Canis lupus familiaris: one gene and its partner. The protein of the gene in region 2 interacts with the protein of the main gene of each other region in a pairwise test. Links are inferred from orthologs where the notes say so. Each region holds a gene or a part of one and is shown on either strand. Other genes may lie near its edges. The genes, in order: CDR2 and TXLNA.

What was found.
Region 1: the proteins of TXLNA (region 2) and CDR2 interact in binary tests that used the Homo sapiens proteins (3 or more experiments, as listed by UniProt). The two-hybrid records come from large-scale screens. The link is inferred for Canis lupus familiaris from reciprocal best matches to the Homo sapiens genes TXLNA and CDR2.

What each region holds. Positions count from the first base shown.
Region 1 is NC_049227.1:23,512,943-23,528,883, forward strand, and holds the start of CDR2 (cerebellar degeneration-related protein 2), read left to right. Parts: upstream 1-8,966; 5' UTR 8,967-9,063; coding exon 9,064-9,142; intron 9,143-15,941. Other genes in the region: transmembrane protein 180, read right to left, coding at 2,645-3,370, 4,337-4,486.
Region 2 is NC_049223.1:68,408,384-68,423,885, forward strand, and holds the start of TXLNA (alpha-taxilin), read right to left. Parts: upstream 12,371-15,502; 5' UTR 12,222-12,370; intron 11,684-12,221; 5' UTR 11,652-11,683; coding exon 11,474-11,651; intron 10,841-11,473; coding exon 10,502-10,840; intron 8,887-10,501; coding exon 8,795-8,886; intron 6,500-8,794; coding exon 6,329-6,499; intron 4,494-6,328; coding exon 4,299-4,493; intron 3,654-4,298; coding exon 3,534-3,653; intron 3,317-3,533; coding exon 3,242-3,316; intron 2,741-3,241; coding exon 2,648-2,740; intron 2,257-2,647; coding exon 2,161-2,256; intron 859-2,160; coding exon 532-858; 3' UTR 1-531. UniProt on the Homo sapiens protein: May be involved in intracellular vesicle traffic and potentially in calcium-dependent exocytosis in neuroendocrine cells.

The DNA of each region.
Region 1 (15,941 bases), on a different chromosome or scaffold from region 2:
TACAAGCTACATCCATTTAGAAGTCCAGAATAAAGAAGGAAAGCAGCAAGGATTGCTTAGGGCTGGGGGAGTAGTTCAGGGAAATATAAGGGCAATAGCTAAAGGGTATGAGATTTTTTTTTTTTTTGAGGTAATGAAGTGTTCAAAAATCTAGTGATGGTTACATATGTAAATATACTAAAAACCATTGAATTGCACCTTATTTTTTTATTTTTTAAAGATTATTTATTTATTCATGAGAGACACACAGAGAGAGAGGCAGAGACACAGGCAGAGGGAGAAGCAGGCTCCATGCAGGGAGCCTGATGTGGGACTCGATTCTGGGACTCCAGGATCATGCGCTGAGCTGAAGGCAGGCACTAACTCATTGAGCCACCCAGGGATCCCCACATTCCATTTTTTAAAGATTTTATTTATTCAGAGAGAGAGAATGTGAGCAGGGGAAGGGACAGAGAGAGAGGAAGAGAGAGAGAATCCCAAGCAGATTCCACACTGAGCACAGAGCCCAAGGTGGAGCTCCACCTAACGACCCTGAAATCATGATCTGAGCTGAAACCAAGAGCCAGATGCTTAACTGACTGAGCCACCCAGGCACCTCGAATTGCACATTTTAAATGAGTGAATTGTATAGTATGTAAATTACATCTCAATGAAGCTGTGAAAAAACTATCTACTCTTTCTAGTTTTTATTATTTATTATTATTATTGTAGTTTTAATTTTAAGTAGGCTCCACACCTAACATGTGGCTTGAACTCACAACACTAAGATCAAGAGTCACATGCTCTACCAACTGAGCTAGCCAGGTACCTCTTTTTTTTTTTTTAATACTTTATTTATTCATGAGAGACACAGAGAGAGAAGCAGAGACACAGGCAGAGGGAGAAGCAGGCTCCCTGCAGGGAGCCCAATGCAGTACTTGATCCCAGGACCCTGACATCACGACCTGAGCCGAAGGCAGATACTCAATCACTGAGCCACCCAGGTGCCCCTCTTTTTATTTTTAACCTAAGAGTTTTGCAAACTTTTTTTTTTACTTAGAGGAGATACTATAGGCAAGTACCTGATTAAAAGTTGGAAGATATATATATTTAAATGTATTTACATTAAATATATTTTAATTATATTTATAAATTTATATTTATATAGAAATATATATATATATATATATATATTTTTAGAATCTGATAAAGCAAATAGGAACTCAAACAGTTCCCTATTCTGGATCATTGAACATAGGAGCAAAACAGCTTGGCAAACCTCAAAGTGCCGTGAACGAATAGTATCATTTCAATATGTACACCCAGTACCTGGGACTTTTGTGATAAGCCCAAAGTGATACTCTGTTTGGTATACTCTGCCAAATACAGTACATTTTAAAGACAGAATCTAAAAGTGCACAGCTCTAAAGGCAGATGCCTCTGAACCTCTCTTCTCTCATCTATGAGGATAAGAAGAGTCTTTCCCTTAAAGGTGGTTGTGAGGATTAGGTGAGATAATTTATATGATATGCTTGGCAAGGTTCATGGCACAGGGTAAGCACCCAATGTGACTTACTATTATTATGGTATATACGGTAACCAAACTATGATAAAGGCCTTGAACTAATCTTCAAAAAGACAAATCGTATCCTGTATACTTTGCATAAGAAAATGTGGCAACACTTAAAATATCTTAGAACTATTTCTATCCCACATAGTTTAAATGTTTTTGGAACCATGTAAATAGTAAAAACTCATCTGTCTAGAGTGACTCACTCTCTGAAGAGGATAATGAATTTTACCTGTCACTTAATTATGAAAATAGGAAAAACCCATATCATAGGCTAGGTTAAGTCATATTTGGGGGTGATATATTTATAGGTGAAGAAAGCAATATGATTCATCAACACTCCAAGTGGTGTAAAAAACAACCCATCAGGCTGGTATACTTTTGGAAGGAGGATACACCCTTTCCAGTAACAGTCATGGGCATGGAATTTTAATAATGTTCTAGAATTCCAGGACTCAGTCTTTAAACCAAATGTTTTGAAACCTGGCTTCAAGAATTCTTGATCAAGTAACCCTCATCCTTATAATGGTTACAGGAACATTAAATGCCTGGATAAAGCAAAATTGCCATTTATTTCATATATATATATATATATATATATATATATATATATATATATATACCTCAGCTAAGGTTTAAGTGAGAATGCTCAGAAGAACAAAATTCAAAAGCTAAAATGTTTCAAATATCATCTTATCTACTCTCATTAGGTTCTCTTTTCTTTTTTCCTTTCATTTCTTTTTCCCATTATGTTTCTATTAAATATTATATAACACCTGGGGCTGTGAATCTTTGGATCTCTCTCTCTCTCTCTCTAAGTTATAGTAAGTACAGTTCACATACAATGTTATATTAGTGTCAGGTGTACAATATAGTGATTCCACAAGTCTATATGTTATGCTATGCTCACTGCAAGTGTAGCTATCCTCTATCACCATACAACATTTTTGCAACATCGTTGACTCTACTGTCTTTGAGTCTCTTATGTGAGTCATTTTGTCAAAGTACTGATATAATCAGCTTTTTCATTTCCAAGCTAGGTAGGAGTTAAACCTTTCATTCCTGTGGGAAGATACAGGAAGAATCATCACATACCTGTGGGCAAATAAAGCCTGCCCCATACATGATGCTCCTTATGGAAGAAGAAAGAACATCCTTAGGAATGAGACTATCTGCAAAGATCATCATGAAGTTATTGAAGAAGGTTAAATGGAAGACTTGGAAGAAATTCATTACCAGGAAAAGGCAAAAGTTTTTCTGCGTCAAGACCTGTCTCATCAATGAGACCACAGAGGTCCAGGGGAGATCCTGTTCACTTTCTGAGAAAAGGTTTTCCTCCAGGCTTCTTTTAGGTTCAAACCGATTCATGTGGTACATGCCAGTGTAAAGGCTGGCTGAGGCAAGAATGGCAATGACCACAGCAACAGCCTGAAAATTGAGTAAAATTTCCATGTTATCAGAGATAAGGCCACAGAAAAGGATACTGGTGGATCCTACCAGTGATGCCATTTGGTTAATTTTAATAAGCTGAAGCCGACTTTCATGTCTGGTGAAAATCTCTGCAAACAGTGTACACTGAGCTTGCTGAACAAAGGTAAGCGTGCTATCAAAAGCACATAATGATACTACCAGGTGAAGTCCACTAAGCCAGTCACCTTCTTGATAGTATTTCCAAGGGAACCAAGGAAGCAGGAAGGCTATTGAATATAAAGGGGCACCGTACAAAACAGAACTACGACGGCTAGAACAGCAGTCAGCCTGAGAGTTGTTGTGAAAGTACCCAGTCAGGTCATTAAGAGCATTCCAGATCATTAAAATCATCTAGGAGGAAAAAAACCAACATATTATTATTTTAGAATGTTTGATGAACATTGATGAAAGTGACTCCTAAATTTCTTAAGTGAAGTAACTAAAACTATGCGGTGGGGGAAGCTCACTGCTTTCAAAACCAGCATATATCCCATAATATTAATAATCATATCAGTTAACGCCACTCAAAAAGCCAATGTGCATTCACTTTGTGTTTAGGCATTGTACAAATACTTCAATTAATTCATTAAATCCTTAAACCAATCCTATGAACTGGGTACTACAATTATTCCTACTTTACAAATGAAGAAACCGAGGGCTGCAGAAAGTTATCAATTTGCCTAGCTAATAAACGACAGAGCCAGGGTCTGAGCCAAGGCAGATGACCCCAGCATCTGTGCTTTCAATCATATGTTAGATTGCTTCCCCATAAGGCACACAAGGCCAAGCCTGTATATATACCATGGCATACTTTTACATAATTCCATTAGGAAAGGTTAAAATATCAATGTTTGCCACTGCAAAATGCCAAAAAATACTGATTAAGTCAAGTGTGTTGTTGGTAATAAATAACATTATAAAATATAAGGGCTTTTAAGACCATTAACTCTATCCACCTTGACCACATTAACTGGTAATGAGTTACAATGCAATTTGTGATTACCACAGAACTTTTCTAGACATAGACTATCTTAATATTTCTAATTGTAAAAATAAAAAAATATATTATTCCATATAAGTGAATTTTCCAGGTAACCAAAGCCTTCCCTTTAAACTCTAAAGCTTTTATGTTTGAAGTGGCAATATTTAAAAAATTTCTTTGTCCTCAAACAGAGGATCTTGGACATAGAAAATCTTTTCTTGAAAAGTCAGCTATTCGCGTGAAGAGTCAGCCCTTTGGAAAATCATAATACTGTACAACTGTAGGGAAAGAGAAACTCTGTCCTAGGTGATAAGATAATGAAGGTTCCATCTCACCTGGGCTTGGTAAAAGGCCACTTCTGAAATCTTGTACAGATGTAAAAACAGCTTCACATAGTAGAAACTGAAGACAGAATTTAGCATTTCAGTCCCTAATGTTATCATAGAATATCCCCAAGCAATCGGTTTGATACTTAAAAGTGTCATTTTCCACACTAAGGAATTCTTCTTCCTTTTTTTTTTTTTTAAAGAAAAGGAAAGTAGTTAAAATTCATACAATAGCTGTTTTCATACAATAGCTGATGGGTGGCAAAATTCCACGGGACACTAATTTTAGGTAAGGAAAAGTCTAAAACCACTAGCTATACATATGTCACCAGTTTCAACACTTAACTTTCTTATCATTCTCTTAACATTTTTTGAGAAGTTGCCAGGGACACTAATTTGCATAGAGTTTAACTCACTGGCACATATATATTTAAAAAAATACACCTAACACGGGGCTTAAACTCATGACCCCAAGATCAAGAATCACATGCTTCTCTAACTGAGCCAGGCGCCCCTACTTGAATATATTTTTAATAACTCTTTCAAGTTCTAAAAGTAAGATTTATTCATGAGTTTGGATATGCTTAACTAAGGACCAAGGAGATGTGTTTACGGTATTTTCCTCCCTACTGGGGAGGGTGCAACAGAAAAGGAACAAGGAGGTGACATCCTTTAGTTAAAGTCAGGCAGAAGAAATAGTATAAAGTTAACCATTCAGTAGTGACAAACTTGCATTGGAATATTTATTCTTGGTCTTCTCCTGACAGACTGTATAACTTTAGCCCAAAGGATGTATCAAAGATGGATATTAAAAATAACACATCTGGGGGGCACCTGGGTGGCTCAGTTGGTTGAGTGTCCAACTCTTTCATTGCAGTTGAGGTCATGATCTCACAGTCCTGAGTTGGGCTTGAGATTCTCTCTCTCTGCCTTTCCCTCTACTCACATGCACTTGCTTGCTGTCTCTCAAAATAAAATCTTAAAAAAAATAAATAATAATACATTTGCTCTGATCTAGATGTCCCTCTTAAATCTGACCTATTGTCTTACCCATTCAATGACTTGATTCATGCAAATAAACAATAGGAAAAGTTTAACTAAGCAAAAGGTAGGTACTGATTCATCTTCCTTTTAACCTTGACTATAAGATAATACCATGATTTTTCTGCTTTATCCCTAACTTCCTGGAATATTTAGCCAGCTTTCCACAATCATTCTGAATCACAAAGACACAAGTATTCAGATAACTCAAGAGATGTTACTTGCTTGAATAATCCTTGGGAATTAGGGAGGCACTGCAGTCTATACTGCCCAATTTCTTAGGGAAGGGGAGGGCAAGCTAGAAGCAGGGAGTGAGCAACTGGTTCAAGTGACCAAATTATCTAAGTCCCTGAGCTTCACTTTGCATTGGGTAGATCCAAAAATGGTGCCAAATCTATAGGAAATAGGGCCCTATAATTAAAAGGGGTTATTAAACCCACATGCAGACCAAACATAGTCTGTAGACTAAATAAAGAATATTTTACTCATATGTACATTAGTATCCTTAAAATATTTGTAGGTTCTGCTGTAATGATAAGATACCATCTGAATTTTTTTGTTATCATTACATGGTGCACAAACACCTGAAAAGCACAAGTGCCATTATGTGGAGGCCAGCCAACATTTTTGGCTTTAAAGGTATTCTCGGATTTGAAAAAGCTGGGAACTACTGGTGAAGATCCCATTCTAGTGAGTTACTTTTGGCCTAAGGGAGAACGAAAAGACTGGGTTTTCATTCAAGAAGGCCAAAACAAAGGAGTCAGTTGAACCAAAAGCCATGATACAAATTTAGCTCACCAAAACGTAGGCACTCTCCTTTTTCTTAGTTTTATTTCAGGCATGCTGAAACAAGAAGCATGCCACATCTTCTGAGCTGATCTATCATTACATCAGGAAGTGGGTATTTATAAACTCAGAATTTTGCAGAGGTTCACTGAGTTAAATTTTTTTAAAAAGAATTTGAGTTAAGCACCTATCCTGTCTGAAACATGTGACTATAAGGTTTTAATAATATTCTGAAAAACTCTTGTAGCCTGAATTTCTCTTTGTTTATATATACTGAGAGGAGGAAGTAAAATTCCCTTTATTTTCATTTGCAACAGGAACTATCAATATTTTGGTTTATATTATTTTCATCATGGTAAGTACTTATTTCATAAAGTATTAAACTGAAAATCACCACTTAACAATTTTTTTAAAGCCACCACTACAATCTAAAAACTCTCCTTACCTGATTTTCCTATAGCAACAAAACACAAATTATATCTTTACGAGCAGGGATCTTTTATCTTTTTTTATAAAAAAAAATTTTTATCTTTACGAGCAGGGATCTTTTATCTTTTTTTAAAAAAAAATTTTATCTTTTACGAGCAGGGATCTTTTTTATCTTTTTTATCTTTTCTGAAACTGGTTCTTCTTTACCACAAAAGGTTTTATACAGTAGAATTTAAGTAGCAAAATGGTATAATGATTAGGCTGGACAGGTGTATGATGTACTCATGAATTATTCAATGAAAACCCAAAACTTCCTTTTAGAATCAACTTGGGTTGTTATTCACTAACCTACTACTACACCAAATAATATTAATGTCACAGAGAAAGCTGTTCCTGACTGCTTCTAAGTTTTGACTAAGTAGACTGTAAAAGAATGATGGGGACTTCTCCAAAGCATGACTTTAAGCAGCGAAAGCTAACATCTGTTTTTCAATGTGATTTTTGTACAAACTTTCCAAGGGAAAATCGTTTCCCCAAAAGGTGTCCTTAAAACGAACCCACTAATACCAAAGACTAAACTATCAATAACTTTAACTCTCTATATCTTTCTCTCTTTTTTTTTTTTTTTTTTTTTTTTTTTTGCTTTTGAAGGAGAATGTGAAAGAATATTTCAATACACTGACCAATTTGATTTGGAATCTAAGTTATTTGCCATGGAGAAAAAAGCTAGCACTTTCAATCTTGTGGATCAGTGACTATGAAAATGAGTCTCTTGAAGGTCAAATGCCTGATTCTAGCCCTTCAGCTTCCACAAATCACCGTCAGCAAATCCTAAATCCAATCATCTCTTTCCAAAGAAAGTGTGTAGTGACTTACTTTTATTTTTTTTTTAATTTTTAAAAAAATTTTTTAGCGACTTACTTTAAGATAGTTGGCTTTAAATTATTTTCTTTTGGCTCTGGACTGTATCTCTACCTGAATTTTGACAATTAGGGCTAAGTAAAGGCTGTAACGTAACCCAGTTTTCTTCTTTTTTTTTAACCTAGCAATAAAAAGTAATCAGTAACATTTTGCCTTTTGGTATAACCGAATTCAGAAGAAAAGGATTTGAGTTTACTGTTCCTCTTTTATTACTAATACCATTATTGCTTCTACGTTTATTGGTTGGCATTCTACTACTATAGGAGAGAGCACGGCTGTCTTTTATGAGCTGTATCTTGACCTTTCCGTCAAGGTCGAGAACATTTACCTTCCAATCACCCCATTTAGGAGTTTCTGAGTTTTGTCTGCGCGATGATGGTAAAGGCCGCTCCCTACGAGTAGCAATTAACTTTAACTTTAACCCCAAGGAAAGCGAAGTTCACTGCCCTGCTGGCCATCAAGTGCTGCATTCAGCTCCAGCTCCCTCCAGGTGCAACGTCACGACCCTGGGTACTACACCTGGCGGTCTATGAACCTTATAAAAATCGTGTACAAAAGTGCTTGCAATTTTTTTCCCCTAAGGAAATACCTTTAACTGCACCCTATCCCCCCTCCCCCCCAGACACTCAAATGGGAGCCCTTCATTTCAGGGGGAAGTGAGTACAACTCTCAAGGGTTTGGAGGTGAGCGCTCAATCAAGGAGAAGACAGCTAACAGCCCTAAACTACCGACCGATCCGTAACTTCCCAGCTCGAGGAGCACAGCTGGGGGGGGGGGGGGGTCCAAAGTCCAGAAGAGGCCAGCCGCGCAGCGGACCTCGGGCTCCCGGCACCCTTCGCGCCTCCGCTCGCACGAAGGGCGCCCACGACAGCCGCCCACGGCTCGGACGCGGGCCCCCGCCCCTGCAGCCCATTTAGGCTGCCCACTGGCTAACTGGCTGGCCGGACACCCACCACTGGCGCCGCGGAGGCCGCCAGCTCCACCGCCAGCACCCCAAACGCTGGCCCAGGAGCGACCCAACGCACAGGCGAGGGCGGGGCCCTCGGCCGCACCCCTTCGCCTTTCCCCCGCCTTCTTTGTTTCTTCCGGAGTCGCCATTGGCTGCTTGCCCGCGAGACCGGGCGACCCGCGGGCCTGCGGTGAGACGGGATTGGACGACGTCGCCGCCGCTCGACCGGCGGCCCGCTCGCGATTGGCCGAGGCGCCGCCGGGGGTTTGAATCGCGGCCCCGGCCGGGGAGGGTTCTGCCAAAGTGCCACGTTGGGCCCGGCTGCGGCGTGAGGAGCCGGTTCAGGGCGCCGGCCCGGGCGCTCGAGCCGGGGCTCCGGTCGTTGGGGCCGTTGGGCGGCTCGAGGCGGGCCGGGGAGCCGGTGCGCGGCGTGCGGGGCGGGTCGCCCGGCGGCAGCTCTGGTCAGGAGGCGCGGCGGAGCCTGGGCGGCGGCGCGTCCCGCCCGAGGGCGGCTCTGGCTGAGGGCGGAGGAGCCGGTGGAGCGCCCGGGGCAGCGGCTGAGGCGGGACGGCGGCGGCGGGGGCCGCTGCCCCCGGAAGAGCCGGCCGAGATGCTGGCGGAAAACCTAGTGGAGGAGTTTGAGATGAAGGAGGACGAGCCGTGGTACGACCACCAGGACCTCCAGCAAGGTGAGGGCGCGGTCACCCCCCCACACACACACTCCTCGGGAGGGCGGCCTGGCCGGGAGCCGCCCGGGCGCGAGACCGTTACGAAGTCGCCCCTGCCCGCGGCCGGGGGCCGCCAGGTGCGGGAAGGTCTGGCGCTCACCTGGCGTGGGGACCCGCCGCGCGCCCGGCCCGCCGGAGGCCGCTTCTGCGCAGTGATCCTCGCCACCCCTGCGTGTGGGCCGCGCTCTGTGGGGGGCGCTTCCCCGGGGGGACCCCGCGTAGCCCGCGTGGACGGGGAGCCGCCGCAGGTGGTCGGGGTCGCGGGGGGGGGGGGGTGCGGGGTGTGTGGCAGGAACCGTGCCGGGCCCGCCCACGTCAGCCGCCCCATCCGTTCCCCGGAGAGGAGCTTCTCTTCTCTTGCTCCCATTTCCCAGATGAGGAAAGCGAAGTTAAAAGGGCCAAATGACTTCGCTCGAGTCAAGTATGGGGGCGAGCATTTTTTGAACTCACACACTCAGAACGAGGAGTCATGGCCACTGCCCAGACCCTGTGTCTTCTTTATCACCGGTTTACAGCTTCTTCAGTTGGGTGTCAGAAAGTTGAAAAAAAAAAAAAAATTTTTTTTTTTTTGTTGCTTATGCATAGTTCAGATGCCAAGTGAAAGTGACTTGAGGCACTTTGCAGTTTGCGCTCTAGCTTTTATTTTATTATTATTTTTTGTAAGTTTAAAAACAGGCATTGGGATCTTGGCCTGCCTTGGATTTCTTGCCGAAAGTGTCTCCAGAGAAATCTTGGAGCAGCCTTCAGTTTGGAGCCAGTGCCCTCCCCTTTTTTTTTTTTTTTTCTTTTGGTATTAATAGCGGGAATGTGCAACTGGGGACACTTTTTGAGTGTGTGGGTTCTTAACACTGGTGTTCATTTGATCCTCTCATCAAGCTATATGAATCTAGTAGATTCTATTATTGGGGGATCTAGGGTTCCACTCCAAACTTCAGAGCAAACTTTCTTAGCCACTATACTGAACACTCCTTAGGAATTTTTTTCAGGCACCTTTGGTGTCTGCAGTTCTGGGTAAATCAACTTTTTTAGCTTTAAACGTGCACTGAAAATTAACATCTAATTGAGGTGACTATTAAATGACCATGGTGTTGGTTCATGCTAATCATTGAATGTGGGGTGGCAGGGAAGGATGTAGGCTTGAATGACTTGTACTTAGAAAACAAAACAACTCTTTTGGGGAAAGGTGGCTTCTGATATGCCGTGGACAGTCACTTAAACCAAAGTAGTTCACCATTTCACTTAAATAGCCCAAGCTGTTCAGTGGCTGCAGTGCAGTATTTCCCATCATGTTCTGAATGTCCATAGGCAAATTTGTCTTACATTTTAAGGAAGCTGTTTTCAAAACTGCTGCCCCTCTCCCCCATAAGGGGGATGCCTGGGTAGCTCAGCAGTTTAGTGCCTACCTTTGGCCTAGGACGTTATCCTGGAGACCCAGAATCGAGTCCTATGTCGGACTCCCTGCGTGGAGCCTGCTTCTTCCTCTGCCTGTGTCTCTGCCTCAGTCTCTGTGTCTCTCATGAATAAATTTTTTTTTTTTTTTTTTTTTTTTTTTTTTTTTTTAAAGGAAGGTGAGCTGGAACCCTCCCTTTTCTTATTTATTTTTTATTTTTATTTTTTTTAATTTTTATTTATTTATGATAGTCACACAGAGAGAGCGAGAGAGGCAGAGACACAGGCAGAGGGAGAAACAGGCTCCATGCACCGGGAGCCCGATGTGGGATTCGATCCCGGGTCTCCAGGATCGCGCCCTGGGCCAAAGGCAGGCGCTAAACCGCTGCGCCACCCAGGGATCCCTCTCATGAATAAATTAAATATTTTTTTTAATTCCCTATAAGGATTGATGGCCTAGTTTGATACATTCTCCAGGTTTAATGAGGCAACCACTGCACAATTGGAGCATTTTCCTACAATAAATTATGTAGTTTGTATAATCACAGCTAAATATTTTTCTTTAGCAAGCATAGATCTGTGCAGGCCCTCTCCCCTTTTTAAAAATCTAGCATACTTAGCACATAATAGAGGCTCAGTTTTAATACTTATTGAACTGAGTCGCTCACATGGGATTAGTGTTTTCATGGCTCCCTTCCATCAGGTGCTTTAGTCCACACTGCCCTTCCACCCTGTGGGAAGTTTTAGGAACAACCAGTCATAAGATTTCAGTCTATGGGAAACAAATGCAACATGTTGGCACTACATGTGGAATTCTTTAACCTCTTTAACAAAGCCATCGGATGTTCAAGTTTAATGAAACTTTAATGAGCACAGGTCTAAATCAACTTAATGTCACTTTGCATTTGGAATTTGTTCTCTACTTTTTGGAAGACTTTTACATCTGTTACCACAATTTGACTTTGACATAACCCTGTATGTCATAACCAAGTGTGTGGGTTAGGAATAGATGTGAAATTCCAACAATTATAACTTGTGGAATATAGCCTGTAGAAGAATGAAGTCTGCACTGTGAATAAAAGGATATCTTTGTCCCAGTTTTTAAAAATTATATGTTAAAAAATACCTAAACTTGGGCAGCCCCGGTGGCGCAGCGGTTTAGCGCCACCTGCAGCCCAGGGCGTGATCCTGGAGACCCTGGATCAAGTCCCACGTCAGGCTCCCTGCATGGAGCCTGCTTCTCCCTCTGCCTGTGTCTCTGCCTCTCTCTCTCTCTCTCTCTCTCTGCATCTCTATGAATAAATAAATAAAATTAAAAAAAATCTTTAAAAAAAATACCTAAACTTCTAATGAATTTTTAAGTGCGTTAATTTCTCCCCCCCTCCAAAATATTTTTGAGTCTGTGCCAGGTATTCATCTAGGCACTGAGGCTACAGTGCCTATCCACAGATAGGATAGATAGGATCCTACTGCTGGAGTTGACAGTCTAAGAATCTGTTTACTAGTGAAACCTGGAGATATTGCCTCCTAGGACATGCCCAACTACAGTGCCTGGCACATGGTAGGTCCTCAGTAGATATTTGGTGCTGAATACAGTTTGGGAGCAAGTCTGTCCTTTTAACCAGATTGATAAACACATCTAATGGGATTTTATCAAGCGCAGACATCTGTTTTGTTTTGTAAACATCCTCACTGTTAACTTTACTGAGCAAGGCTTGTTTGGAGAGAGCTGCTGAAACAACTTTTTAAGATCCTGTTCTTAAAGTCATTAAATTACAAACCTGTTTCCTTTAGCAACAGAATGATTTAAGTAAATTGACCATATCAAAGTTTGCTGGGGAATTTTTTTAATTTGCTGAAAAATTCTAACTTTGGAAGGCTCTGGTCCACCATATTTATACCTTGTTAGAAATACGTAAAGCTTATCCAGGCAGAAGGAGAAAACCCTTTGCTTTTACAGAACACTTTGATAAAGAGACTGTCTTTTGTCAGAGAGCTGAGTTGGCTCAGTAAGAATACTGACAATGATCTCTGTGGGTAAGATCCTTTCTGGGACAGCAGGAGCCTTCTGTGCAGGTAATGATGGTGCTTGCTTTGAAATGTGCCCCTGAGAACAAGGTGGAAAGACTTCAGAGACTGAGTTTTCTTTTGGTCCAGCTGCTATTGTAATTGTCATTGGTGAGCTGTGCAAGCTTAGAATAAGGTTTCAAATTCCTACTCTATGGATCAGCAAATGAAGTCTTAGTTTAAAGGAATCTTCATATTTCTACTTCTTTTTGTGATGAGTACATTTGCCATGTGTACAACTAATTTGCTGAATCATTGTTGAAGGGTCATTAAAACTGGCACCATCATTTTTCTTGATGTTTATATTCAGGTTTTTTGCTTTCCCAATTATAGTAACGTTGGCAACAGGAGTTACACAGAAGCATCACCAAATGACGCATTTGATTTTGTAATAGGAAAAGCTTTCAGCTCTAATGTTGTTGAATTACTGCTGCAGACCACAGCTTAACATGGGAATTTGTTGTCCTCATAGTTTGTGAAAAACTGAAGTAAAATAAAAATATGATAGCAGTGGAATTTAAAGGTTTCAGAATTCTGGAAGAGAGATTCTTTGAAAAAATTACTCAGCTGCCAGAGCTAATCTTTTGCTTTGGCATAGGGCTGAATAGAGTGCCTGTTTAAAGCTTACAGTTTATGCTGTTAAAATAGATTATTATCACTCGCAAAGATTAATTAGTGAAAGTATTAAACATATGAGGGTATTAATAGGTTTTTAATTCTTAAGCCTGAAGTAAAAATACCACACAAGTGTGGCATTTTTAGTGGCTACCTAGTTCAGTTCAAAAGGATGTAGAAAAGACAACCTCTTAATGAAAATCTTTATTGTAAAATGGAGATGATCAGGTACATAAGACTTCAAAACTATATTGTTTCCTTTTGTGCCTTAATTAAAAATAAAAAGGACATTGAACATTCTCTTATTCCCCCCACTAATTATTTAGAAACCCTTCTTGGGCTTACTGCCAGCTTTTGGCTCCTTTTGGTTATGGAAACCAGATGCTACACAACAGGAAATAAAATTTTTTTTAAGAACAAAAAAAGACCCTTGTCTTTAAACTAACAGATGAAGTAATATCCTATTATGCAGTGTGACTTCACAGACACTTACTTGTAGTTGAGACTTGTTTTGCCAGAATTCTATCCTGAACATCTATGAAATATTTAGGAGATTGAGACTTCAGGTTACTGAACCAGGTTGGGGCTTTGTTTAACTGGAAATAAGGATTGAGATAAGGACAAGTCTCAAATTCTTTTCTGCATGCTATTTACTAGTAAGAGTACTGTGCTTGGCATCTCTTTCTGCAGCAGCGGGAGCAGGAAAGCTGCTCCTGGCTGTGTGTTAAGTAGTAGGCAGTTTCATAACTGAATGAAAGTAGTTGAAGATGGTCTCAAGTTAGTCTTGATTCTGGAAGAGGTTTTGCCTCAGGTTTTGATCACTGATTAAGAACACCTTTGGTGAGTCTCTGGCCCTTCCCAGTGAGGAATTACTACCTTAAAACAGACCAGGAGAGACTTAAGTAATGTCTAGGTAATGTTTATATGTTTATATGCTCTTTGCCTTAAATAAGCGTGGTGCCCCTTGTGTAGGGCTACATGTCCTAGGAGTACAAAATAATTATTTTTGGAACATCTGCAAGCTGTACATAGCGCCTTTCGCATTTAGTGAAAACAAGATATTAAACTGCCTGGAATTGTGTGTGTTTTCACTGGCAGAGCAGGCAATAAAAGCCAAGTAGCTCAACTCTGATTTCTCATTGCCATCTATAAAAAACAAGTGATAAGATGAAGTATCTCAAAGAAGGAAATTGACGGTCTACCTGAAACAAAGAGGTGTGTGGGTCTCCCAGTGTAAAGACATGGGATATGAAGACTATGAGATTGGAACCTGTTGACGGTAGTTTCTGTTTTGCTGTGACTCACCATGTAGATGTGGTCAGGTCAGTTAGCATCTTTGTGCTTCACATTGTCTCATTTGAAAATCCAGGCTAAATACCTTTGAAAGATAGATTAGTATCTCTCTCTCTTTTTTTTTTTTTTTTTTAGATTAGTATCTCTTAAAAGCTTTGAGCTGTTTATAAAGGTTCTATGCCTTGTGAATAGAAGATGTTATTTCATAGACTTGTTATCTGAAGTCTTCTGCCCATTAATGGATATTGTTAATATTTAAATCATGAGAGAAGGTATTTTAACACCTATCTACCAACATATATACTGTTTTTTAAAAAAAAAATTTATTCATGAGAGACAGAGAGAGGCAGAGACATAGGCAGAGGAAGAAGCAGCCTCCATCCCGGAACTCCAGGAGCATGCCCTGAGCTGAAGGCAGATGCTCAACCACTGAGCCACCCAGGCGTCCCTATACTGTTTGTTTGTTTGTTTTTAATTTTTATTTATTTATGATAGTCACAGAGAGAGAAAGAGAGGCAGAGACACAGGCAGAGAGAAGCAGGCTCCATGCACCGGGAGCCCGACGTGGGAATCGATCCTGGGTCTCCAGGATCGCGCCCTAGGCCAAAGGCAGGTGCCAAACCGCTGCGCCACCCAGGGATCCCTGTTTGTTTGTTTTTAATAAATAGGTGTAAAATGTTTTAAAATGAGCTGGAGTGGTGTGTGGTAGATTTTGATGATTTGTTTTTTTCATAATGAGGGAAAACTAACCAAGTAGAATACTAGTTATGTACTCTAATGGACAGTACCAGGTAACAAAAGTTGTGGCTTTTCTTTTACCACTTTCTCTAGGTTAAGTTTTAATGTCAGTAATAATGAATAAACCTAAAACTTTATTTGTCAACCTCTAAAACTTAAGTTTAAAAAGCGTATGTAGTAAGATTCCCAGTTTTCATAATATTTTTACATAATAAATGCTTTTTTATGACATTTTATGATGTATATAAATACTTTTTATGACATTAAGTGAAATGACTTTCCATCATACTTAAAATAAAACGTAAACATTCTTTACCATGGACTGTAAAATTTTGTGTACTCTTGATTTCTGTCTGCCCTCCAGCTTCATCTCTTTACTCTCCCCCTCATGCTTCTATCACACTGGCTTTTTGTCAGGTCGTAGATTATACCAAGTTCTTTCCTGTTACAGTGCCTCTGGCTGGCTTTTTTACATGGTGAGATCCTCACTCCTCAATCAAGCCCAGCTAAAATGTCCCTTCCAACTTTCCTTGTGACCTCCCTCTCTAGAATAGATCCTTCATTCATTATCACCAAATCTATTTTTTTTTTTTCTTTTTCACACATCACATTCAACTGGTTGACAGATCTTTAGCTCTACTTTAAGGGGATTCCTACC
Region 2 (15,502 bases):
CCCCCTTCTCCAGGTTATGAGAAGCAAAGGAGCTTCCAGGGTAGCTACGAGAGCCAGAGCCGCCCAAGCCCTGTTAACGAGGGAAACAAAGTCAAGGCCTGAGTGTGTGCCACTTGTCACGAGCCCTGAAGGGCAGGAAGGGGGAGGGGGGGGTCTGAGCTCTGAGCCTCAAATCAGGCAGGGGAATGTTCAAGTCACTTGTCCTGCCAGCCCACTGTGACAGCAGCTACAGATGGCAGCTCTTCTTTAAGACTCTTCAGCTCACAGAAGAGCCAGTGACTTCATGCGTACACACCCCCACCTCCAGTGCAAGCCCATTTTACACTGATAGAAATGTATGAGGCCTTGCACATATGCCATATGTTAAGTAAAACTGACCCACAAAATCCAAAACTGCCAAGTGTCAGATGTCAGCCAGGTTAAAGCACCCTGGGCCTCAGCACTGGACTGCTTAGCGGTGGGAGCCTTGCATGGGCCAGGCCTGGCTGGGCTGCTTGCTCCCTTCCCAGCACGCCCCCTGTGCCAGGTTTCCTAGGCGGTGGTGGAGGTGGGCTCCTGGGGCCCTGCTTGGCCAGGTGCTTCTGTGCTCGGTGCTCCAGGGCAGTAAGGAGCTTCTGTGACCCTTGGGGACCCAGGTGACTGGGCCCCAGGACCCTCACAACCCTGCTCCTTGGAGGCAGCTGCAGCCTCTGGTCTTCGCTCAGGGCCACCATCAGTGATGGAGCCCTGGCCACCAGCACTCAGGTCCTGCACCCTTTTGTTCAGGTCATTGCGTTCTGTCTGCAGTGCTCGGCACAGCTTCTCTAGCCGCTGGATTTTTACCTGTAGGCCCTCTAGCTCTTTGTCCCGGAGTGTTTTCTGGGGAGAGAAACCGGGCCTTAGTGCCATGCCATTAATCCCCCACCCAACAGAGTCACTTGGTAGAAAACATTCACACTTGAATGATACTATGAGCAGGCCAGCATCAAAACCCTGCCCCTTCCTAGGAAAATAGCCCTGGCATATGCCAAGACCTGGCTGTTGGTAGGGTTGTGGTGCAGAGAAGCAGCACGACTTGAAGACAACATATTTCTTCCTTTATCCATCAGGTGACACTGGCAAAGTAAGGCTTGGCTTTTGGAGCCTATTTCCTTATCTGTTAAAATGGACTACTGGGGTGCGTGGTTGGCTCAGTCGGTTAAGCACCTGATTTTTGATTTCGGCTCAGGTCATGATCTCAGGGTTGAGATCAAGTCCCATGTCAGGCTCTGTGCTCAGCAAGGAGCCTGCCTGAGATTCTTTCATCTCCCCCGCCTGTATATGCACCTAGGTGCATGCTTTCTTTCTCTCAAATAAATGAATCTTTTTTTATTTTTTATTTTTTTAAAGATCTGAGAGAGGGGATCCCTGGGTGGCTCAGCGGTTTAGCGCCGCCTTCAGCCCAGAGCCTGATCCTGGTGACCTGGGATCGAGTCCCACATCAGGCTCCCTGCATGGAGCCTGCTTCTCCCTCTGCCTCTCTCTCATAAAAAAAAAAAAAAAAAAAATGATGAGAGACAAAAAGTGTGTATGTGTGCACATGCCCATGTGCACGAGTGAGGGGGGAAGGGCAGAGAGATAAGCAGATTCTCTGCTCAGCAGGGAGCTCAAATCAGAGTGATCCCAGGACCCTGAGCTTATGACCTGAGTTGAAGTCAGATGCTTTACCAACTGAGCTACCGAGGTGCCCCTAGATAAATAAATCTTAAAAAAACAAACAAACTACTAACATTAACCTCATAGATCTCAAGAAGGTTCAATGAATTGGCATCACCTAAAACATTGAGGAGGATCTGGCATACACTAATTAGTTCCCTTCTGCATCTCAAACCACGAAATCAAATTAGCTGAGCCACCCTGCATATAAACTGTGCCCACCACTGGTACCCCTTGGTTTTTCAGTTCCTGTACTTCTACCTACCATTTGTTCTCTTTGCTTCTACTGCAAATCTACCACTGGGCTCATCATCTCCCACAGGGTGACCACTGGCAGTGCCTTTGGACTTGGGCAGATGGACTTATGAGTCCCAGCTCCACCTCATGCCAGCTGCATGACTTACTTGCAGAACGTATAGGAAAGGGCCCGTCACTCAAAAACTGCACTCCCCTACCCCCCGTAGCTGCAGAGCACACTCGGCCCACCTCCTCAGCCATCTCAAGCAGGGCCTTGTTGCTGCTCTCCCAACGGGACCGGTACATGGTGGTTTCTTTCTCTAGCTTCTTGATCTTCTTAGTCATCTGAGTTATGGGACACATAGAAGAAAATAGTCAGGGGGACAGACTGTCCATCTGAATCTCCAAGGTGGGCAACATGTTACAGCACGCTGTCTGTGCCACCTGAAGACATCTCAAGGTAAATGTCACCGCCACTACCACCACCACCACCACCACCACCACCACATGACAAGGCTGCCCCTCTTCTCCAGGACAACCTGGAGGATGCACATATCAGTGATGCTTCCTTGAGAGGCGGGAAAGGCTCTGACCCCTTCCCTCCATACAGCCCATCCCTGGTATCAATCATGCTATTACTGTGAATAGCTCCCCAGAAGGAACCCCAGGGGTTGGGGGCTTCCTGAAGGCAGGCCCAGGGTGCCCCTGTAGCCACACTCAGGCTGGACACAGTTACCTTTTCCATCTCCTGTTTGAATGTGGTGAACACTTCACTGCTTTTGGAAAGAGTGTTCTGGAATTCCTCAAACTTCTCTGTGTATAGGGCAAGCTGGGAGAGAAAGAAGCCCAGAGATAAGATTATGCTTCTCTAGAATGCACTTATGGCTAATGCAGTCAGACCTATCCTTGGACCTCTGACCCAACAATTCTATCGAGATACCATTTTTCTTTAAAGCAGAAAAGCTATTTTAAAGAACAGAATCCAAAATGTTAAGCTTAGAAAGTAGGATTTGGGGTGACTTATATTTTGCCTCTATGTTTGTTTTCAAACTTCTCTTCGAAATTAAGTACAATTTATGTAATTAAGAACAACCATTCTCATTTTGCCTCCTCAAAAGCTGCACAACACTTCCAACTAGGAACAAAGTCCTTCAAGCTCACCTAGCCACCTGGTCACCATAGGTGCTGGGCGGGTCCAGACAGAACAAAGGCTCAGCAAGGTCACACAGCAGTCAAGGTGGTCCTAGAACGAGGGTCCCATTTCCCTCCCCTAGGATGGGGGCCCAGTAAGGTGACCTCAGAGGCACAGGATCAGGACACACTGTCTCACCTGCTGCTTCAGGTGGGTCTCCTGCTGCTTCATCAGCTCACACATCCTCTGGGACTCCACTGCCTCTTTGAGGAGCTATTTTCAAGATAGGACCCCAGATCTTGTCAGAAACCCTTAGGGGCTGTCTGGTCTTTTTTAGCCATATACCCCAGTACCCACAAAGTGTCCTGCTCCCTGAGTAAGCTGCGTCCTGGCCCGGCCAGGCAGCAACTTTCCCTTACAAACATGACTCTGAGCTGAGCCAGAATCCACCCCGCCTTCCAGACTCCCCTGTACAGGGCCCGAGCCTCACAAAGTCCTTTTCTCGTTGGTGCCTCTCCTCTGCCTCCTTCAGCATCTCCTGGGCCTGCTGGAGTTTGGCATCTACCAGCTGCTGCTGCAGGTCCTTGTGTTTGAAGACCTTGTCGATATGCTGCAGGAAGGCATGGTAGGAGGGCCACCTGTCAGCAGCTCTCTTTCTCGGGAGGCCCAGTGGGCTGCATGGATGTCCCATCTGCAGACACCAGGGTACCCTGCCCAGCCTCCCATCTCACTGTGACACGCTGGACTCCCGCATGTTCTATAGCACATGGGCCCCAAATCCCTGGAAGGTCTACTTCCCAACCTCACCTTGTTTCTCTCCAGTCAGTCCTAGGTGTGCACAGGGATGAGATCAGCTCCCAGGAAGCCAAGTAATAAATACACTCAAACCTCCAGCCCCAAGAGATCACTCCGCTGGGCTAACAACCCTCACTTTTGTAGCCCGACTCCCTTGTAAATGGGAAGAAAGGACAAAAACGACACCTCCACCAACACAACCGCTTAGCCCCATTGGCAAAGATCTCCCCACCTATAGACCAAGACTAGATGTGCAAATTTCAGGGAGTGGCAGTCCTAAATGTTGAGGAGCCCCAGGAGCCGGGGGCAGGTGAGAGCAGGAATGAGGAGGAGGCGCGGAACTCAGTGGGACTTCAAAGGTCAGAGCAGTTGAGAAAAGGTACATGGGGACACACTTGTGTTCTAGATAGTAAAGGAAAGGTGGCCTGGAGGCGGGTGTTGGCTGCTTGGGACTCCTTACCTCCTCCCGCAGCTCGTACTGCTCGATCAGCTTCTTGAGCCTCTCAGCCAACTCCATGTTCTCCTGGCGCAGCTTGGAGTTGCGCTCGTTGTGCTGCTCCATCTGCAGCTGAATGTCATTCAGTGTCACCTGGAAGTGGGAGGTCACCTCCTTGCGCTTCTCCTCTTCCTCCCGGGCCCGCTGCACGCCTTCTTCCTGGGCAGAGAAGTCAGCCCTGGCTCCATCAGCTGCTCTTCCCCAGCCCACAATGCTCTATACCCACAACCCTCTCTACTCTCAGTGAGCAGCACCAGCCAGGCTCCAAGATGCCATGCCAATGGGGGTTCCCAGGGGACCCCTCTACCCTTCTATCAGGTGACAGCAAGGGAGATATTCTCTCCCTAGAAGAATGCAGGCATACACCTAAGTGTCATTCTAGAGCAATCTAGGTCTCCTGAAGTCCATTCTTCCAGACTCAGGCTAAGCAGTCTTGTTTTGTGCTTTCATTTCTCACCTCTCACCAACTAGTTAAAATTTAGTAGTTCCCAGGGTTGGCAAGATTGTGCAGAATTAGGCACGAGGACAATATTGGTGGGGAGGTAATCTGGCAAAGTCTATTAAAACTTATATAACGTGCATGCTCTTTGACCCAGATCTTTAACTTCTGAGGTTTATCCTAGGGACAAACTAGATACACTTACCCAAGAATATATATAACAAGAACTTTCACTGTAGCTCTACGTATGAAGTACTGTAAACTTAAAAACAACTCAGCAATTCCTTAACTAGGGCACTGACAAAATACAGAATACGCATACAACAACGCTATTGAAAAGAATGATGGGTCTGCCTTTGGCTCAGGTCATGATCCCAGGGTCCTGGGATCGAGTCCCCCATCGGGCTCCCTACAAGGAGCCTGCTTCTCCCTATGCCTATATCACTACCTCTCTCTGGGTCTCTCTCATGAATAAATAGGTAAAATCTCAGGGGGAAAAAAAAAAGAATGAGACAGCCTCAAAAAAAAAAAAAAAAAAAAAAAAAGGAAAAGTGAGCTATACATGTTAGGTGAGAGGACAGAACAGGATGTGAAACAATACACATGACCTCTCCATTTAAAGAACCCTATAGAAAATTACATATGGATGCAGGAAGTCTGAAGGCTGTACTTAAACTTATGGGTAAGTAGGTGTACTTCCCAGTGGTTTCTCCTGGACACTGGGGCTGAGGAGGGTGAGCAACTGTTACCTTTGAATCTCATACTTTTGTCACCTCTGAATCTCTCATATCAAGTTTATATTACAGTAAAAATGTTGTCAAAGACAAACTAAAAATGAACAAAACAAGCTGGAAAACACTATATATTCACTGACCCAAATTTGTAACAAATATATAAAGGATACATATATAAAAACCACCCAGAGGTCACAGCAGTGACTGGGCTTTACCAGACGGACCCTGCCTGAGGAGAAGCAGGACAAAGAAAAAAGACCCAGCATTTCAGACTGCTTAAGTCTGGGAGAGGAGCTGTCCACCAGCGCTGGAACCTGACTTACCTGCAGACTGCCAGTGAACTGAACAATATCAAAGACCTGCCTCCTGGGCTCCCTCACCATACCTGACACAGGGACAGGTCAAGTGGTTACAGGCAGCTATCCCTAAGGCAGGGCGTTACTGGGGAAATCAATTTCTCTGCCAAAATCCCATGCTACCTTTTTTTTTTTTTAAAGATTTTATTTATTTATTTATTTATTTATTTATTTATTTATTCATTCATTCATTCATTCATTCATTCATTCATTCATTTATTTATTTATGATAGGCAGAGAAAGAAAGAGAGAGAGGCAAAGACACAGGCAGAGGGAGAAGCAGGCTCCATGCACTAGGAGCCCAACGTGGGATTTGATCCCGGGTCTCCAGGATCACGCCCTGGGCCAAAGGCAGGCGCTAAACTGCTGCACCACCCAGGGATCCCTCCGTGCTACTTTTTAAGGGGAAAGCCCACCAAGGAAAAGTGGAAGTCAAGGGAACCAGAGTCGTAGGGGCCAGCCCACCTTGAGGGAGCGGTTGTGGCGTTGGAGCTCCCGGCACAGGCTTTCTAGCTTACTGCGGGCCAGGACAGCCTTGCTGTGCTCCCCACGCAGGTGGTCCTTCTCCTGCACCAGCTGGCTCTGTTTCTTCTGCAGCAGCTTCATCTGCTTCTGGGAGTTCCGATGCTCCTCCAGCTGTGGAGCAGGAAGGCAAGTAAGTGCCTAGTCGGGCTTTTCCCAAGGGACCCCGGCCCTCTCCCGACTCCAGTTGTTAACAGTTCTGGCTGGACACTGTGTGGGTGCTTAATGTACTTCTCCGATAAACCCAAGGGCTCCATCTCCAGTATACAGAAACAGGCACTTACGACAAGCAGGGATTCAGAGGCTGCAGACCCCAGCCTCTCCCCACTCTAACTCTAGAGATGAAGTTCTCAAGACTCTCAGACCATTACATTCCTTCAACCTTTGTGACACTCATGTCCTCAGATGACACCCCTTACCACTCCTCCTTGTATTCAATAGACCCCCGTCACTCCCTCTTCACTGCTCTGAAACTTAGCGCCACTTCACTCAACATGACTGCTGTTATCATTTTGGCCTTTTCATTATGGACAGATCTTAACCTTCTCAGACCCTGTCTTTTCCCCACATCAGCTACCCTCCCATGAGCCTAGTCAACGCTGATACAGTGCAACTCTATGTAATGACAACTGTTCAAGTCATTGAACATTATTTTTTCTTCCCCTTTCCTTAGGTGTTTGAAACCTAAGTTGTATCTTACACTTAGAGCACATCCAAATCTAGACTAGCCACATTTCAGTTGGCTAATGGTTACTGTCCTGGACATCAGATCCAGATTTTGTCATTACCCAGAAGCACACACCCCTCCATTATCTCATCCCAGGGCAGGACCACTATCCCCTACCATTCTAGCTCATTCCATCCAAAATTTGTGGCCCCAGAAAGTCTACCATACTGGACCTCCAACCCAGTGACCCAACTATCCTTTCACTTTCCTTGAATGTGTCTTTAAATAATCACTGACCTTCTTATACTTGTCTTAAGACTTCTTACACTCAACTCTCTTGCCCCCTTTTCCTATCAAAACCCCAACCCTGATATCCCAACCTCTGATTCCTCTGCACAGGCACTGAAGCAGAAGAACCTCTTTTAATTCCTAACTACCCATTTGAGGAAGACCCTCGTCTGCCATGCGGCCTAACCATATTCCTTATGTTAGTCACACTCCTCTTCCAGAGAACTATTTCATCCTCCTCCTTCTCAGCTCTCCTTTGGCCCAGCAAAAAATATCTTTCTCATTTCCCTGAGAATGGAAGCAACCAGAGGCACAGGGGCATAAGTTCCACCTCTGCCCATCCACCTGCACCGGCCTTTTCCTCTGGTTACCAGGATCCAGTGGTGCTTCCCAACACAGCCAGCCTTCTCCTTATGCTCTGGCCCTTAGCTCCTTCTCTACTTGAGAACATCACTCAGCTCCTGCTCTCTTCATCAATCTTTCCCTGGATGGCTCATTCTGAAGGGGTGGTATCTTTTTCATATCCTATCCTTTATTTAATCATTATAGCAACCCCACAAGGCAGGTGTGATTTTTCCCAATTTTACAAATGAGAAAAACTTCTTAGAGAATTCTAGCTAATAAATGAAAATGGAGTGAAAGAACTTAAAAACAAGTAGTTAGGAAATGACCCACAGTGGATTAATCCATTTATACAAATTCTGATGGCAACCTGACAAGGGAGGAACCTGGCTGGCCCCACCTGAACTCAGTGGACAATCTTCCATCAGTAAAAGTGGGAGGAACACACTTTCTCTACAGAGTACCACTTATGTAGAGTTCTTATCAAAATAGTTGAACTTGGATTGGATCAAGCTTCTAGAGTTAATTTCCCCTATATCTACAGGAACTAAGGAGGTAAAGGAAGAAGTTAAATGTCACCACAAAAGCGAAGAAGTGAGGCACAGGGCGATTGATCTGCAGTAAATCAATGTCATGAGAAAAAGGTTGGCAGTAAATGAAGACTATTTTGGAATAAAAGGAAAAAAAGTTGTAAGGACCTAAAGTATTAGATGGATCTCCTGTAGACCCTGATTTGATCAAACTGACATTTTAAACAAATGGGGAAATATGCGTATTAGAGTATCACATCAGTGTTAGTTTAAATGTGAGGATGGCACTGTGCATTTTTTGGGGAGATGCACACTGAGGCACACAGGTGTGAGATGACATGGTATGTGGGACTGGGGCCAGGAGCTATGGTTTTACCACTGTAATATGAAGGGTTTCTTCTTACAGTCAACATGGAAGGGGCCAGCTGGGACTTGACTCTCCACTTAACAGATGGAGAAAAGGCTGAGAGAGGCTGAATAGGAATTAAGCCACCCACCTGCCCCGGCACCCTCAACCCCATGCCAGGTGGCCTGCTGACTTTCCAAGGCAGGGCGGATGCAAGAAGAAGGGGGAGAACTGACCAGTTCAGCATACTTCTTGCACAGAGCTGCCAGCTTCTCCTCTGGGGTGCTCAGGGTGTTCAATGTCTGCATCAGCAACGTGATCTCCTTCCCTGCAAAGCACAGGGATCAAAATCATGTACCCCCTTCTCTGGGGATTTCCCCAGGCCTCGGCCCACACTCTCAGGCCTTGAGGCAGCCCTACATTATCATATTTGATACTGTTTGTTGACCTGGCTGTCATCCCATTAGACCGTGTGGTTCATGAGGGTTACCACCAACTGAACTCAGCCTATTACTGTGGCCCCAGTGCTGCTCCATATTGTCTTTGGTGCCCATCTCAGACGACATGCTCAACAAATGCTTAATAGACTAATAACTGAGTCTATGTGGAGACTCCATGGTGAACACTGAGAGTGGGAGAAAAAACCTGCCTGCTCTAATAGCAGGAGGAAAAAAAAAGACATCCCAATGGCCAATTTAAGTGCTACTGTGTCAATGCAAGGAAAGCCCTTTCGAAAGAGGAAGGAGGCAAAAAGGAATAGGTTTCCTCGGTAACTACTAAACATTTGTCAACAGTGGTAGCCAAAGAGTGAACTTTATTTGTTCCCTCCTAAACAGTGAACTTTTAAACAAATATATCTTCCGATATGTGATCCCAAGATTAATAAACAACAGGGATGCCTGGGTGGCTTAGCAGCTCAGCAGCTGAGCGTCTGCCTTTGGCTCAGGGAGTGATCCTGGAGTCCCCTGGATCGAGTCCCGCATCGGGCTCCCTGCATGGTGCCTGCTTCTCCCTCTGCCTGTGTCTCTGCCTCTCTCTCTGTGTTTCTCATGAGTAAATAAATAAAATCTTAAAAAACAAAACAAAATAAAACCAAAAACAAACAAAAAAAACCCTTTCCATTAGGATGACAAACAGAGGGTGGGGAATTAAGGACTAAGACACAGGTATAATATCACTTAACTCTGATTCTTTAACATACACACTAGTCCCCTGCCCCCAATAACTTTCTCTCACTGTGCTTCAGTCAAAGGGGCTTCCTTCTGTCTCCCTGGAGGGCTCCTGTACATAGCACAGCACCAGGCTCCTGAAGTGTCAAACCCAAGAGGCTCGAAAGATCAGTGTGGAGACTGCAAAGCACTAGCACGTAGGCCAAAACCCACACGAGTTTTGTTTGGCTCCCAGCATATTAGTTGTCAATTGTTTTTTTTTTTTTTTTCTTCAGTTGCCAATTGTTAAAAATCCAGAGAGATTTCACTTAACTGCATAATAACAAAGGGGAAAAAAGGAGAAAAAAGAATGAGGGGGGGAAAAAAAAAAAAAGGCTGGCTACACTTAGCCTGTAGTATTATATGCTATCAGCATGGTGGGACCAGATGGCAATCACCCCTTTGGATGAAGTAGGCAATGTCTTGTCCTCCTAGGGTCCCCTGTCTAACTTGGCTTATTTGTGTTTTCAACCCTGGGCTAGTCCAAATCTTACTGTAGAGAAACGAAAACTAAGGAACAGAAAGGAGAAAGGTCTTGCCCAAGTTTACAGAGCAGGTTAGAGATAGTGTTGGCTGACACAGGATCCCATCTACACCCCTCTGTTCTACGGTCCACACCCCTTGCTTGGATCAAACTAATGTGACTCGGTGCTCCAGAAAGTAATTTCCTCTGAATCCTGGGACAGCAGGTTAGCCCAAACATCCCCACCTCACCAGTAGCTGCCCTCTGCTCACCCAGACCCTTGGCTTTCTTCTTCTCCTGTGGCCTTCGGTGATCTCGGTCTCCAACCTCGTCACTGGTCCGGATCTCATCTGTGCCCGGCTCCCCCTTGGAGGTCTCCTTCTCACCATTGACCACTGGGGTCTCTGGCTCAGGCTCCCCATTCCTTGAAGCATAGGTCCGGGACTTGTCTGCATCTTCGGGTTCAGCAGGCTCACCCTGTGCCCCATCCTCACCTGGGCCCCCCTGATTGTTGTCCACACAGTATGTACTCAGGATGTCTTCCAACTGGCGGCTCAGCTCCTCAGAGACATCACGGAGGGCCCCGGACTGAGCAGTTTTGGCTTGTGCTCCTGTGGCAGGGCAAGATGAGCGGCAGAATGAGAAATGAGAAACAAGATGGTTAATTCCATTTGCTGGGATTTTTCAGGCCCAAACTTACTGGTTGGGGCTAAATGTTGCCTACTTTCTTTAAGCCTTAGTTTATTTACCCATAAAATAAGATTATTTCCCACTATTGCCCAATCATGTCTGTTATAGATGTGAAAGGAATCAAGGAAATAAAGCATCCAGCATATAGGGATGGCATGTACCTGGAGCTCAACATCTAGTCCCTCCCTTTCCCCTCCCTGCAAAAATCATTTCTTGCTATTAAAAAAGTTCTAAGAAAGCCTCCAACATGAAGAGTAGTTGCCCACTGGTGAATGCAGCATTTCTAAGCCGGGCTAGCTGGTTGGGTGTCTCATCTGAGCGCCACCTGACTTAACCCTGTCAGAGCCTTCTCTTAAGAGTTCTGCTCCTGTGCTTTGAGTGGGAGGCTCTATCAACACCCTGGGGAAAGAGGGATCTGCGGGTGGCAGTCCTCCTCTCATTCTACATTTCCTCCTTCCTGGGTAAACAGTGGCCTAGGCCTGGAACTCCAGAAGCTATCCTGGCGCACCACAAACTCCTCCCCCTGCCCGCTGGAAAGCAGAAATGGCACACACCCTCAGTCTTCCCTGGAGCCTGGCTGGAGGAACCTTCAGCTTCTGTCGCAGGAGCCGGCTGGCTGGGGCGCCCCTGGGTTCCCTCTGGTCCTACTTCGGCTTGCCCCGGGTTGCTTTTTGGGTTGGAAGTGTTGCCCGACTGCTTGGCAGCCCCGTTCTTTTTGTCTTGGTTCTTCATTGTGGTTTGCAATGCTAGGCTGGAAACAGATCCTATAGAAACAAGCACACTCGCTATATTCCAGACTTCAAAATTCTTCACAGCCTGGATCCGAAATCCCAATCCCGGGTGCACAAAGCTTCTTAGGACACACTGGCCGTCCCTCACCAGAGGGAGCCAACGGTTCTCTCTCTGGCCAGTCGGAGGAGCACGGCGCGCCCAGGCAGGTTTTCGGGGCGCTGCTTCAGAAGCGCGGCAGGCGAGGCCTCCTTTTTCTCGAAGCCGCTTCCCGGCACTACACAGCCCCCTTACCACAGGCCGAGCGCGGGATAGGCTCAGGGCCGGAGACTGACGTGGCGGGACGCTCGATTCCCATCCCTCCTCCGGCCCCCAAGCCCCACGTGGGCCCCCCCGCGCGCAGCCACCCACGCCCCGCGCGCCTCCCGTCCGCGCATGCGCACAGGACCAGCCCTGCCCCCCCCAGCCCACTCCCTCGCGCGGAATCGGCGTGATTCCCTCCACCGACCGAGAGTGTTCAGGCCCACCGACCTGCTGGTCGCCTTGTTCCCCCCAAACCTCCGCAACACGCACCTCACTGCCGACCTCCTGACGGCTTCGCCCGCTCTGGCCTCGCACCGGAAACCCTGGGTAACCGCTGCCGGCCAAGCCGCCTGCTCCTGCCACAGCCAATCAATAGCCGGCGCTCTCGCGGGGCTTGCTGGGAAAGATGAAGCGAAGGCAGCCTGAGGCGGCCTTTGAGGCGGGTGAGTTGGGCAGGCGGAGGGGGAGGGAAAGGACTACATGTCCCTCCATGCACCGCGGCTGACCCCCAACTCCCAAGATGCAATAGAAAGGACTTCAGTCCTGGGAGGCGGATACCCAGGAGGTCTGAAAGGAGCTAGTCATTCTGCACGAATACTGGAATCCGCCTGGTTCCTGTCGTGCAGAATTTATGATTCAGGTCCAGAGCCCTGTGCCTGGCTGTTCTTTCCCGCACGCCCTTACCAGCCTCAACCCTCTGCTGTGAACATCTATGACCAGGAACTCTGATGACAAGGGATAGAGCATTGGGCTGGGAATCAAGACCTGTATTCCAGTTCTAACTTCATCGCGAATTCGCTGAGGGGCCATTCTTTTCTTTCCCAGGCCTCATTTTCCGTATTCAAATGAAAACTTTTCATAACAGTAGTAGTTCTTTGCTTACAGTGTGCTTTCCCACCTACTAGCTTAATCCGCCTATTTACTAAGCTCAGTACTATTTTTTATTCCCATTTGCATCTGAGGACAGTAAGGCAAAAGTTAAATAACTTGTCCCATCGCTATTGAGTAGTGAGTAGGGATTCAAAATCAGAAAGTCTTCCGTTTTACCTCCTGGATTACCCTGACTCGTACCCAGAAGAAATTCACCATGGCACTTTCTCAAAGGATGAGTCAAGGTAATTTGGTGGAATTATTCCCCCCACCCGCCCCAACTCTGCGTTACCAGCTTGAGTCCTTCTCTGGAAGGGGTTGACAGGGCTCTGCAAGAACTTTGGCCTCAGCCAATTCCTGAACATTTTCTCTGACTGGCCCATCCTCTACAGACAAAATCGGAATTGCCATGGGCTCAAGGGGAAAAACCCAAACTTTCTCTAAATGTGAGATCACAGTTCTATATTCAGCTGTCTATACATAATAGAATAAAAGCTACCAACCCCTGTGCCTGGAATTTAATGTGTAAATGGCTTGGCTTTTGTTTCCAGTCAGTTCTGTCCATGCCCTTTGCCTTTTTTGCTCCCACTATACTCTATTTCCAGGATTTCCAAGTTTTTTGCAGGTGCTAGTCCAGTTTCCAAAATGCCCTTCTGGCAAAACTAGTATTTTGAGGTCTAGCACAAAGGTCATTTCAGACCCTTCCCAGTGCTCTGTAGTCTGTCCCAGCTCTCTAGGTCTGGATAGAGCCTTTTTTTTTTTTTTTGGATAGAACTCTTTAACATTTGTAATGAGATATTCAAATTATTTGCTTACAAGTCAATGAACATTACAAGAACTCTTGGCTAAATTGTATTCCTAAAGCCTAGCATCAGTCTGGGGCAGTGAAGACAGAATGAAATCATGCAAATTGAACAGTGTGGGGGCTCTTAAAGATGTTCAATTATTTTCCCCAGTTAGACTTATGGCCAGTGCTCTTCCCCATCCCTTAGTCTGCTGTTTATCAACTAACATTGAGAGGCAATATGATATAGTATGAAGGTGGAACTCAAGCCAGAAATGCTTGGAATCCAGGTCTTTCAAAGGCCCTGATTATTTCCAGAAAAAACATGTTGGAAATCTCTTGAGGTTACATATAATCAGGCCTTGATGGCTTCCCAATGGGAAGAAGATGTTCTAGGCAAATAATATTATAAAGATAATAAGAACAAGGTATCTGTGGGGCCAGGGGGTAGAATGGTGTAGCTAGAAGGATCAACAGTGGCCTACAGAGGACAGGTGGGTAAAAATGTATTTCAATAAAGCTGATTAAAATAGGCAGGCAAGGAATAAGAAAATTTGAGAAACATGGGTTAAAGGTTATTTTCTCCTTTGCTATAAAGGAAAGTTGGGTCAGTTGGGGAGACCACTGGGAACGCTGGGGATTGTGGTAAAATAGAGAGCTCTTGCAGATTGTTTTTAAGCAGAAACTCAGATCTAGTAGTGCCAGAAAAATTTCAAGATAGATCGTTTAAAAATGTTGGCAATTGGACAGCCAGGGTGGCTCAGCGGTTTAGCACCGCCTTCATCCCAGGGCATGATCCTCGACTCCCCGGATCCAGTCCCACATCGGGCTCCCTGCATGGAGCCTGCTTCTCCTTCTGCCTATGTCTCTGCCTCTCTCTCTCATGAGTAAATAAATCTTAAAAAATAAAAATAAAAATGTTGGCAATGAATTAAACACACTATCAGACAACCGAAATCCTTTTAGGTTAAATCAGCTTTATGGCTAGGTCTTGTCCTAGCCTAATCTTGTCCTAGGAACTGACCTAAATGGGAATAGTTTGCATGACCTCAGTGGCTCAAAGGGCTGTAAGTGGAACTGATTAAATGTGATCAAAATCCTGTAGAGAAACTCTAGAAAATGCACACTATTGTGACAGAACAGATCAGTGTTTGCTGGGAGTTGGGCATGCAAGGGGATTCCAAAGGGGCATATGGAAACTTCTGGAGGTGATGGATGTGTTTACCATCTTGATTGTGATGATGGTTTCATGGGTGTGTATGTCAAAACTTATCAAATTGTATATTTTAAATATGTGCCATTTACTGTATCAATTGTATTTCAATAAAGGTGATTAAAAAAAATTCTTGGGGCACCTGGGCGGCTCAAGTATGTTAAGCATCTGCCTTAGGTCATGATCTCAGGGTCCTGGGATCTGCCAGGTGGTGGCGGGCTCTGTGCTCAGCAGGGAAGTCTGCTTGTTCACTTCCCCCCAGCTTCTGTTCTCTCTCAAATAAAATCCTAAAAAAAAATTATTTATTGCAGGAGTAGGCTGCTGCAATCCTAATTCCACTGTTAGGCCACATGTTTAAACACCCTTTCCTGGGGATCCCTGGGTGGCGCAGCGGTTTAGCGCCTGCCTTTGGCCCAGGGCACGATCCTGGAGACCCGGGATCAAATCCCACGTCGGGCTCCCGGTGCATGGAGCCTGCTTCTCCCTCTGCCTGTGTCTCTGCCTCTCTCTCACAGTCTGTGTAACTATCATAAAAAACAAACAAAAAAACACCCTTTCCTCACCAAAAAACTCAGTTTAGGATGATTCCAAGAAGACGATTTAGAACTTTGCAACAGGTTTTTATTTTTGCTTTATATCTAGTACAGTGTTTGAAACCTAAAGAAATACATTTTCTCTTCAAAT